Drosophila melanogaster: one gene and its partners. The protein of the gene in region 3 interacts with the protein of the main gene of each other region in a pairwise test. Each region holds a gene or a part of one and is shown on either strand. Other genes may lie near its edges.

What was found.
Region 1: the proteins of CG7991 (region 3) and CG5011 interact in a two-hybrid assay, tested with the Drosophila melanogaster proteins (one large-scale study listed by BioGRID).
Region 2: the proteins of CG7991 (region 3) and exp interact in a two-hybrid assay, tested with the Drosophila melanogaster proteins (one large-scale study listed by BioGRID).

What each region holds. Positions count from the first base shown.
Region 1 is NT_033779.5:1,198,931-1,201,786, forward strand, and holds CG5011 (uncharacterized protein), read left to right. Parts: upstream 1-1,740; 5' UTR 1,741-1,929; coding exon 1,930-2,172; 3' UTR 2,173-2,290; downstream 2,291-2,856. Other genes in the region: CG5139 (uncharacterized protein), read right to left, coding at 1-208; CG43348 (uncharacterized protein), read left to right, coding at 520-648; CG43349 (uncharacterized protein), read left to right, coding at 1,310-1,522.
Region 2 is NT_033778.4:11,937,575-11,942,622, forward strand, and holds the start of exp (expansion), read left to right. Parts: upstream 1-1,982; 5' UTR 1,983-2,660; intron 2,661-5,048.
Region 3 is NT_037436.4:1,672,862-1,677,733, forward strand, and holds the start of CG7991 (uncharacterized protein), read left to right. Parts: upstream 1-1,847; 5' UTR 1,848-2,260; coding exon 2,261-2,306; intron 2,307-4,872.

The DNA of each region.
Region 1 (2,856 bases), on a different chromosome or scaffold from region 3:
CCACCCTCCTTTTCTTGGCAGGATTGGGTGCTGTAATGGCACCTTGGATCTCCGCCTCGAAGGATTCCTGGCGCCTGGAGGCCTTGCTCTTCAAGGCCGAAACCGTTTTGTATCGGTTCTGGATATCGGTAATGTTTCTCAAGGTCTGCTTAAAAGCAACCTCGACTTGCTCGACTTCCTGCAGCGTATTCCACAGATTCTTTTCCATAATTTGTTCACGAGAAAATTTTATACAATAAAAAATTTGAATACAAGAATGCACACTCCTCCCACTTCAAAAGATCATACGAATATACAAATCCTGTTCGATTGAAAAATCAGGGAAGCTAGATGTGTGATTTTCTCGTTGCGTTGTCATAGGGAAATTCCGATATGACCACCAAGTACTCACCTTATCGCAAAACAGGCTGATAAAATGTTTTAATGGGAAAACCAATGCCTCCAGCAGTCTTTCGTCACTATATATAGCGTGGAAATCGGGGTAATACTTTAGTTCAGAACGGAAATCGCTTTGGAAACATGCCACCACCACCGCACCAGCCCCACCAACCGCACCCACCGAAGGGTCCTGCGCATCCTGGGGATCACCAACCAGGACCGCATCCCCCTCACCACGGAGATCCGAAGCCCCATCACGGACATCACTAGGCCCATGGACAAGGACTATAAATAAGATTCAATTTTATACAGAACAAAACAAGATGGATACTTTTTAGGGAACTTAGTTTCTAATAGAAAGTCTTAAAAACTCTTCAAACCAAAGAAATAAAAGCCTGTACAAAATACATAGCTCTACTCTTTTCTATATCTTCAATGTTTATGATCTTGAATTGGTGATACTGCTTAATGCATTCTAAGCTTCCATTAATTTGAACAAAGCATACATATGATTTGAAGATCTAAATGCTTTTTAAATTATAATACACGTCCTAAGTGCAACGTACTAAGCTTAAGAATTTGTTGCTGATTGTTGCTGATTGTTGCTTACAAAAATAAAATATTATAACATCTCCATATTGTTGTACTTATGAACTACATGCAAAGTCGTCATTAACTTATTCTTTAAGTCACATATAGACATATCAGTAAACAATTCGCTTGTTTGTTATTACTAATTTCGAATGTCATACATTTGTTTTTATTGAGCGAAGTGTTGTTGTGGGAAAACCCGAAACTTACTTATCAACCGAACTGGGCTCGTCTTATCTGAAATTTAGATAAGATTACAACGTATTCGAATCATTTTCCTATAAATGGTTTGACAGGATAGGCTTTAGCTTAGTACTCAACTAAAGTCAGAAAAGTCAAGATGCCACCTCCACCGCACCACGACCACCACCATCATCATGGGCCACCACACCATGGACCTCCCCACCATGGGCCACCGCACCATGGTCCTCCACACCACGGGCCACCGCATCACGGGCCACCACACCACGGACCGCCGCACCATGGACCTCCGCACCACGACCACCATCATCATGGACCACCACACCACGGTCCTCCAATGCATCCTCGATGAGAACTATAATACAATATAAGCCGAATTTAACGTTATAAACTGATATGGAAAAACTTAATCGTTAACTGTGATTAAGCCACAAACTAACATTAAAATATCTTCACTAACTTCTAGTTAGTTTCACCAAGAGCAAAATGTTTTTATTTTAGAAATTGTTTAATTTTATAACACCATTATAAAGATACTGATTCTAATAAGCAATTAGAAGAATATTGAAGCAAGAATTGATTAAGTATGATTAAGTATCAAAAAGCCAGCAGATAAGGTAGACAATTATATATAAAAGAAAGTCCCTCTCCACTAGAATGCAGATAAGATTACAGCCTACTGAAACTATGTTACTTTTGTATAAAAGGTCTGGCAGGAGTGAGCCAGTTTAGTGTACAACAGAAGCCCGCCAAGCAAAGATGCCTCCTCCACCACCGCACCACCACCACAACCCGCCGCCTCATGGGCCACCGCCCCACGGACCACCGCACCATGGACCTCCGCACCATGAACCACAGCCCCCGTTCCACACGCCAGTGCATCCGATTTACCACGAACCTCCTCACGGAAACAGCTCCGGCTACAATCCTCCGCCGCCGCATGGTCCGTATCCATATGGTCCAGGATACGTGGCCCCAGGACCTCCAATGCATCCGCGATAAGAACTGAACTGTAATCTAGATCGGTTAATATAGTGTGATATCAACAAATGTACATTTGTGTGTGATTAAAAAATATGCTGCTTTTAAATATATAAACTAACTTTAGTTAGTCACGCCTATGTGTGATTCAAGTTTTATTACTTGTAGCTTCTATGCCAACAAACAATCCCATTTCGAGTATGATGATATATGCGCCTAATAAGATAAGGACGGTTTTTTGGAATTCCCATAGGACCGTCATAAAGATAATCCATTGAAAAAGTCGTCATTCTTTAGGTGCGTTATGATAGCTTATTTTCGGGTACTATCAAATTCTTGAGGTAACACGTCATTACTAATATTTCACTAGGAAAACAATCAATCAATCAGTCAATCAATCACTGGATTCTTTATTAATACGTGGGCTTATCGTATTAGTCGAATGTCATGAATTCTTAACTGAGCATATCTTTGATTTATTGGCTCTTTTCCATTCCATTTGTTCAAGAATAATATTTTTGTTTTTATTTTGAACGCTGAACTATTAGTAATCATGCATATAAACCTGTTGTAAACCTTATCAATGAGTTACTTCAACTCAACGCTAGATAAAGCTGTGCAATCTTATCGATAGGAAATACGCATTTGCTTACATTAGTCAGAACCTAACTTAGATTGTTGAGGTGATTTTTGGGGTACGCCACT
Region 2 (5,048 bases), on a different chromosome or scaffold from region 3:
AGGTGCGGCCACTTGAACTTGACTTTAATTGGCTATCGATAAAGTAACAACAATTATGCCAGCACCTGTGGGTTCTCTCCCTTTTTTATGGGCGTCTTTCACTTTGGTCTTTCACTTTTCATTAACGCGACCAATTGATTTTGGAGCCGTTTCGAATGTTATGTAACCCCCGCATACCAGCGATTTTCGATGCCAGCGTTGTCTCATGGTAATTGAATATGGATTACCAAAGTGTAACAAGTGCAAAGCCGTGCGGGCTGCATATTAAGATGTATGAAATGAACAATAACGGTGGAAACTGCTTCGCATTAACAGCAAATGCAAAACGACAGCTACGCCCCCACTTTGCAGTTTCATCAGCTTTTATGATGCCATCCGCGTGACTCGGACTGTCATACCTACGAATGCTACTCCTCTTCAAACGCACTGGAAATGCTCATAATTTGATAATAGCATCAATTAAACTTGATTGCTGGCCGAGACTCTATGCTGGCTCCCATTGTTGTTGGCCGTAATTAGCACCCAAGCGAAATGTTTATACGCCAGTAGTCAAAACTTCTTATTGCCTGGCTATACAAACGGTGTCATTAGTTGGGGATGAGTTATGTATGCGAACCGGAATTTTTTCCTTTTTTTTTTTGGCACGTAATGAAGTCATATTTGCTTAGACAAATTAAATGGGAAACTCTGTGCGCTTCTTATCGATAAACATGCGCAAGAAGAAGCAGCAAGCAGTCGTATCAAAACAAAAGACTTAGGCAACGAACTTGGGCTTGCGTCGACATGAATTTATAATTTTACGCGCTGCGGATTTCAAGACAGCATTCCCAGCATTGTTGCTGGGCCCGTCCGTCATCATCAGCAGCCTCACGATCTTTATTCGCTATATACACAGGCAGTGTATATTTTAAGCACATTTTGAACGCAATAAACAAGGATTTAGTGGTGATATAAAATTTTTAAAAATGTTTGCCTCTAGTTAATCTTCTTCATATCAGTTTAAACAACTATAGTGCTCTGTTTGCGTGATTTATTCAAATTAGTTGCTTGTGCTAGTACATTGTCTTAAAATATTAAGCTATTAAATCGTTGACCCGAATATTTATTATTATTTTCCATAGGGTATTCAAAATTTAAATTCTACCAAAGTGTCTTGTCTTTTGCATTTTACAAGCCCAGCAGAATGGTTTTAATACCATTTCAATTTGATGGAACTAGTGCATTTGCCTCGTGTCACTTTTGGTTGCGCCTGGTGATTTTGCAATTTAATTTCTGCCCGCAAAACGAGTTGCGAAAAAGACTCGGCTAACTCGGACAAGTTCTTGGCTCATGCACTTGTTGCAGCGGTGTTATTTGTATAATGCAGATTTTTAATTGCCTGTCACATAAATTCCAGAGATCTGCGGGCGTTGTAGAACCGCAGGTAGTTTGACATTTCGATTGACCTTCAGAAAGCCATTAGAATAAGAGGCGCATCGGCCATAAAAAACAAATATAAAATCCAGAACCGTTAGGCCTGCCAAAAAATCTCGCCTAAAAGCTTTTAAGTAACGAGTTGATAAATAAAAATTAAAACATTTTGGATAAGCAAAAGAAGAAAAAAACGACAAGAAACATATGCCGATGATGTAATTAAGGTGTAGAAAGCAGGGAGATGAGATTGATGACCACCAAATCTTGCTGGGAATTCAACAAAAATGCAGCCCAAAAGAGCTGCCTAAGAGAGCGCCCATTCGAAGAGCTAGAAATGCGCTCTTGTAGGAACTCTTTTCCAAAAAAGCTTCGCCAAGCTTTTAGACACGCTAAACGCTATTAAGCCAACTTAGCCATGAAGCGACAAGGTAAGAAAAAAAAAAGACAGGTAAAAGAAATACCGAAGCAACGTAACCGAACTTACGGTAAGAAAAAAGGCAGGTAAGGCCGCCAGGTAAGCTCGGCTCTGCCGCCACGAAAGCCCGGCTCTGCTTTTCGCCTTCGATTCTTCAGTCGAGTCGCGAAAGTCGTCGAGTGCGTTTGGTTCGCTGGCTCGTCGGCAGTGCAGCTAAGAAAGAAAAGCAAATCCCCAGCCAATAAAAAATATTATCAAAAAAGAAAACAAACTGAGAAAGAAGAGAAAGAAGCTGCTGGAAAAAAAGGTCGTCATCATCACGAATTTTTGTGCGCGCAGTCTTCGCCGTTATGCAATTGAAGTGCGTTCACAAAATGCCGAGATAGCAACAATTTTGAATTCATTAATTTGCTGGCGAATTAGAAATTTCTGTCGCGCGAGTTTAAAAGACGCATAAATACCCGTGTCCAAATTAAATATTACAATTTATGGCAAACTCGTTTCCACACAGCCCAGCAGCATCGAAAAAGTGAAATTAATAAAGTGAAAAGCAAACGGCAATTGTAGCAAAAAGGCAATTACAAAATCAATATAAATAATAATAGAAAATCATTGTTGCAGCATTGATGAAATATACGTACATACATATACGTAAAGAAATAAACAACAGTTAGGGGCAAGCACTTTTCCTCGTCGTCGCTCTGCGAATACGTAATCATTGGGAAAATATCAGCAATTTTGCAACAGTTTCGTCACAACAACAACAACAACAGCAGCAGCAACAGCAACACCAGCGACTGCAGAAAAAAAACAAAAGTAATTGAGCAGAAAGGTGAGTTCGCAGAGACCAAGAGACACGCATGCAAAGCAGGAAAAAAGTACGAAAAAAGCATGGAAAAACGAAGAGAAACCCTAGCCCTTGCACCTGTTGCGCCTTCCTGGAGGAAAACGCAGTGCTCAGCATCTTTCATTCATAATTGCCCACTTTTTCTTTAACTGTACGGCTGGACTTCCTGCTTACGCACTTTTTTTTTTTTTTTTTGGTCGCTCTGTTTGGTGTTTGCTGTTTGCTACACTTCAGTTTCATTTTCATTTAAATGCGAGCTGAAAACACGGCTTTGGCTCTCAAGGTTGACAACATCTGCGTTTGCTGCTGTGCTTTTCGGCTTCCTCCTCGGATTGCGTATTCATATTTGAATATTATACAATTTGAGACGTCTCAGTTTCGTAAATAGTTCCTTTTTTGCCATCAATTCAAGAGATTAGTGCTGAATTAGCAGCACAATGTCAAGTTAATTTGGGTTCAGCAACTTTTTCTGGCTCTTCATCTCTCAAACTCTTTTTTCTGATACATGTGCACTGAAAAAAGCTGTTGCCATTGTTTTGATGCTTAAAAATTATTAAAGTCTGGCTTATTTAAATCTCATATAAATATATAATATATTAATCTTTGAAATTCTTGTTAAAAGTATTTAGCCTTTTTGACAATTTTATTTTAATTAATGGCCTGATATTAACAAAATGCAAAACACTTGCATGTGACCTTTAAAATATGCCATATATTTTTGGCTTTTATAACCAGTATATTGCCGGCTTTAAGCCAATAAATAAGAATTGTCAATAATTGTTTCAGCACTCATATATATTTGGCAATAAGTAAGAAATAAATGAAACCTCAAATAAATGGCAATTCATTTAAAATCTTAAAAAGGTCTAGTTTCATGTTTCATGATTTTTTTTCGGTTTGAGAACGATTTTTCTCAGTTCACACATAGCCTTGAATAAAACAGATGGATGAGTTTCAGACTGCCAACACGCCTTCGAAAACAAATGCATTTAATACTGAAAACGGGGCGGCCCGAAAAAAAAGCTTAAATTAAAATGTGCAGTAGGTGTTGCCATTCCGATTCCGACTGCGATTGCGAATGCGACAATTGCCCCGACACTTGTATATATATATATATAAATCGTATAGTATATATACACTATACTATATCCGAGCGAAGAGTGAGTGATGAAGAGCTCGAGAGGCAAAGGAAGGAAGTTGCTATCGGCATGAGTTGCAGTTTCATTGGGCTTCGGTTACAGACTCAAATCCAACTTCTCAGCCCATCATCTTTGCAGTTTGTGGGCTTGTGGGAGTCAATTAGTGGGCAAAATTTAAATACATTTAGGTAGATGGTGAGGGGGGGCTGGCATGCCACCCAATTATGCATCCATAAATGTAAACAATCGTCGAAAAGACCCTGTAAAGTGCGGTTCTTCGCCTTAAGAAGAAGAAGAAGAAGAAGGAGAAGAAGTAAGTGCTGAAATCCGTCTAGGCAAAAGTTCACCATGGCCAGAATCTGCAGACAATATAACGTGGCCGAATCGGCTAATGGGAAATGTCAGTCAGTCGGCCGACAACGTTGACTTCATTTACATTTTGGCAAAACAACAAATGAGCTTGCACTAAGCCCCAAAAAAAAAAGGTCGAGCAATAAATTTGTTTTGTAACTCTACCTTTTTAACCAAAAACTAAACCTATTTTCTACTTGGCCAAATTCCAGGAGAATTTGCATTCGACCGCCTAACCGTTCTTTCACTCTCTTTGTGCTTCTGGCCATTTCTTTTCACGCTGTGCGCATATTTCATGAGCTGTCGATGAGTTTGGTTCTATTTGGGTTTATTGAAAGCCATTCCCCCGCCAAATGGGCACCGTTCATTAGCGGGAAAATGGGTTAATCTCATTCAGCGGTCTGCCATACAGTTGCGGTCAAAAAAGTGGCACTGATATATTTGGTTTCTTTGATTGGCTGTAATTCATCTGATTAATTTATCTGCCTAAGTTGTTAAAGAAATTCCTAATAATAGCGAATGACAATGTGTAGATTGTGATATAATCTTTTCCTTGTACGAGCACACCAAAATGTCAAAAGTTTATCTAATAGCTTTAATATCTTTATTGACCCATCTCTAAGATCGCAGTTGTATATAGGTACACGTATCAGAGTTTCCGCACCTTTAAAAGATGCTATAAAAAATGCGCTTTTCAAGTGCGTGCAGTCTGTGATTCAGAAGCTAATTAATCCACAGATGTGGTGGCGCTAACAAAGTGTGAAAGAGAGTCTGATAGGGAGGCACGTGTTGTTGTTTGTCGGCGATTAGCCAGATATTGAGATACAAGCAGATAGATAGATACATATATAGATGCTGGGATGATGGCCTTTAACGCCTCGAC
Region 3 (4,872 bases):
AGCAGGCTCACACATGACTGCACTCATTGCGTCCATAAATATTTATAACTCACATTTAAATCGCGCAACAAAAGTGCATAATAAGTGGGTTGGTAAGCAAAAACGTATATTTAAATATGAATGTAGTTCCAGTTGTGCAATGAAGATGAAGCCACCATAGTCTAACATCAATTTGGATCATTACCTTTAGTGATTCCAATAATTTGCGCGGCTTTCTGACCTGTCACAAGAAAAATCCCCCAACCGGAGAAAAGCAAAACAAACTATAAACTACAAAATACAAACTACAAACTACCAACAAATGAAATTCGTATTCATATTCCAATTAGACAGTAGAAGAATAGCAGACGGAAAATAGTTAGATGGTATATGGTAAAAAGGTCTTTAATTCCGCCACATAGCCGCATAGGAAATGGGCAAAAGATGGGATGAGGAGGAGCACTTGGCCATGTGGGCGATTGAGAGCAGCAAGCCGTGCAGCACACTGAACGAAAATAAGATCGGGTTAAGAATGAAATATGATTAGGTTAAGTGCTCACAGCAAAGAAATGTATCTACAGAGAAATTATTTCAACATGAATCCCAAACTATAAATATGACAATCTTAATTTGAAGATAGCTTGTAATAATCAAAGCGATTTTCCGTGTATAGAAGATATGGAAGTCGAAAAGAAGTTGTTTATGTTAATTTGGCTTTATGCTTCGCTACGCTGATTCGCTTGATGAACATATAGCAAAAAAGAGGGCTGATTATGAGGACGACGACGACGACGACGACGATGACGATGATGATGAGGGGGCCCAAACCGAGCGAATATGGCCAAGTGCACTATGTCAAACGGAGGGGCACACGGCAAGCGGGCAACTGATGGCCAAGAAGAACAAACCATCAAACCGTCAACGCATCAAAGCGTTAAGTAATAAATGTGCAGGCAGCCAGCGAAAAGAAAGAGTTAAGAGCAAAAAAAAAAAAACAAATCCAAGCGGGCTATAAACAATAGTCGCCTGTCTTGCAGGTTGCGTGCATTTTGAACTCTGCACGAGCCAACGATCGTTGTTGTTGGCCGATTTGGCCAGACTCTTGTTGTTGCTGTTACACATTTTGGGGGCAGCAACAACCACCTACAGTCAGCGAAATTCAGTGAACCGCCACCAACGCGACGCCAACTGCGACGCCGGCGGCGACTGCGCAGTCAGCGCCACACTGAATTACATCTTTGAGGTGTTGAAAAATATTAATAATATTTTAAAATTACACTTTAAGTTTAAGACTCAGTTCTGTGATAGCTTTTTAATGGACTAACCCAGCTTGTAAGCAAGCTGATACCACTGATGTAACTACCTTTTAACTCCAGCCAGTTGTTAGCCATGTTTGTCCAGTGTTTGTGAGATAATTAATAATTTTGTCGCCAGCCCGCAAGAAACGAGTCTGCGGAGTGGACCCTGTTTTGAAAAGTGAAATAAAACGCCACTTTTTACGAACATCTAATTGTGTCCGCACCCTGGAAACCCATAAAACGCGCCATCTCCATCTCGATCCAGCCCATGGGCTGGCTATTAGCCATATGTCGCTCGCATTCAGATCGTCTGGGCTTCTTACACCTGTTTTATGTCCCCACTGGCCCCAATGTGCGACGACTGCCCCTTTCGGAGCGTCGACTGCGCCGCCCGGCGTTTCGGTGTAACACATTTTCAGTTCGTTTCCATTGTGGCAGGGAGCGCGGAAGACCAGCGAGCCAGCGAGCCAGCGCGCCAGACGAGAAGAGCTGGCGGCAGAGCGAGCTCAAGTCGAGCTCGGAGGTTTTTTTTCGAGGCAGCGGAGCGACTTTTTATTCGTTAATTAACCGTCGAGCGGGCCAGAAGTCCGAGTTGCTCGGCTTAACGGAAGTGCTGAAATCGGGCGGCTAATTGAGCACACCTCGCCTCCAGTTGACACCTGAGACACCTGAGGGAAAAAACGAATTGAAACCACTCCACATAGCTCGGGTCATAACTTTCCTCGCTGGCCGGCTGCTAATGTCTCAATTTGTTGTGCGCGTTGGGCAAGTGCAGTTGCCATTCAGCCGTGGCTGTATCTGAAAGATACAATTCGGGAGAGCTCGGTTCCTGAGTGATTCGAAGTTTATGCTAATCAGCTGTGTTGCTCCGCGAGAGGGATCATTTCGCCATAGACCCACACCCGCATAGCCAGTGATCACATAACGAAATAACGAAACCAATCAGCAGACGATCTTATCAGCGCCAAAAGAGGAGGAACACAATGTTGTTTTGGAAGAGGCGTCTTCAGCGATCGAGCAGCTCTTCGAGTAAGTCCCCGTTTCTATATGGCCAAGTTTGTGGGAATGGTGGTAATGGGGGACGGGGGACGGGACCACGCCTCCAACGATTGGGCAACAAGAAATATGATTTCGCCGGGCAGGTGAATTTCGATTTTCGGTCCAGTGACAAGCTCGAATATTTTGGCCTCGACTCATCTGCATAATTTGCATCTTAAGCATTATTTCTGGCTGTGCCCAGCGACTGGTTTATTGATTTTATTTCAGTGCTTCCCTGGCCAAGATCGTAAATTCACCCCGCTGGGCTTCATCACCCACAAAAGACTTGGACAAATACAAATGGGAGCGCGAGCCACGCGGGACATGAATAATAGCTCATATCTGGCCATCGAAATTCTCGCCGAGGTGTTCCCTTTGTGGATGACGATTGCCCAGAGATTTATGAATGGATTTAATGTGTTTAGCATAATTATGCAGATCGCCGTGTAGAAGATAATATCTCACTAGGTTTGGTTTCAAGCGTAAACACTTGGGATGGAAGTGGAAAGATTTGACACATTCACGATCAGTCGGATAAAGATTTGATGGTCTTAAGGGGCTTGGGAAGAATGGGTTTACTAACCAATATGATTATAGTGTGGTCAACACATTGTACCCTAATCCCCCACTTGAATCCCTCTCCTTCCTTTGAAAACCCATGGCCCGCAGTCAGGTGTCATAACAGATTTGTCCCGATGGCCAACAAGGTGGCCAACTGCTATCGAGCATCGCATTGAAAACTGTCCCTTTTCCCCACATTCCTGTGGTTACTCTTCGTCTTCTCCCATCCCATCCCATCTGCTCCATAACTTTCCAACCAAGTGCCGACTATGTGTCTCATTCGCTGTATCTCAGTTCTGAGCTCTCGGGGTTTATTTGGGATCAAAAACATGACTTTGACTTGTGGTAATGTGATGTTAATGACAATCATCAGCAGCGACACAAGCAATAACAACGCAGGCAGAACGAGGAGGAGCAGGAGTAGGAGTAGGTGACATCCACACCACCGCCACATGAAAGCAGTAGTCCCAGTAGTGGGTAGCCCCGCCTCCTGAGCCGCGGAGCACGCCTAACACGATTCCGGAGATCGGACATCTCTGCCAGCGACATTTATTTTATGTGCGTTCCGTTCCCGAAAGTCGTGGCCCATAATCGGCTTACCCAGAGTTCTTGGCTCTACCATACCGCAGTTGACACTTCTGGCTATTTGGTTCGCTTAGTTCGTGCCCGGAGTCTTCTGTTTTTATAGAAGCTGCCCATCAAGTTGCAGGTTTAATGGTCGCTTGTGGCCCAGTGCCGCATCGAAAAATGAGTTCGGCGTTTTGTTGTGACATTTTAATGGCCTGACCGAGCTCCATTCCCCACCGCCGAGATGGTTATCAATATTACAAAATAGTTTTCGGCTTTCGGTGGAAGCGTGCTGGATGGGATTGGAATGGTAAACAGTGTCTGGAGAATTATCTGAAACCTAAGACGATGAGCAAGGTGGAACAATTTAAATTACCATAAATCAAAACCCACAGATATACTGTGTAAGAAGTGTAGAAACATAAGTTCCAATTGAGAGTTTCTCACCGAGTTTAGTCGAGCTCTATTTGGGGCACTCCATTTGCAAGTGGCTTAATTCCCATAAATTCCGTTTGTAGATCTTTCACTTGACCGGACTGCGTCCCCCTTTGAGACCCACTTAGCCCACATCTTTGGGTCAGTCCTACACTTTCCGCGCATTCCACGAGCTCGGACCTCGAAAATTGTCTGCAAATTGCTCATAAATTACATGAAAACCGTCGCAATGCCAAAAGCTGCACCTACACCATCATTATCAGCTTGTAAATAAAAAGACTTTATCAATCGTTAAGCCGCGGGCGCAGACTCGCCATCCGGAGCCCGCGTCCGGGATCCAAGATCTCACCTCATAACATAACATAAAAGTCGTCCGGGTGGAAGGAGATGAGATGAAGATGGAGCGAAGGTGGATGCCCATTCCCATTCCCAATCCCATTCCCATCCTCATTCCAGGGCAAAACCCTGGCTCCGCTGCGGTCAAGTACAAATATTTTTATTTATGATTTTACAGATCAGCATATTGCTCAATAATTTCACCGCACCGGCAACAAAATAACTTTCAAATTACGCCTGCCGAGGATCCTCGCTTAAGTGCGCCAATTTTGAGATTATTATTGCCGGCTGCGTATGCAGATAATCGTGACCCAAAGTGCAGGAGGATGGGGTGCCCATAACTCAGCCGGTTCAGCTGGGAATCGGGAATGAGCTGGAATGATCCTCGACCAGCAAGGACTAGTGGATTGAAGCTGGTCAGCCACCGATTTAATTACTCTATTTGGCTAGTTTTTTGGGGTCGAATTTAGGTTGTCTGCGCTAGTTGGGATCTGGATTTGGATCTGGATGTGGAGTATTTGGGGCAGCTTAATATTTTCCCATAAATTACTCGGGGCCAGGAGAAAATTACTTTAAAATTTATGGCCCCGGCATCTTACACGCTGATTTGGCCCTTTTATTTTCGGCTGGCCGTTTGGTTTCTTTCTCTGGCCATCGA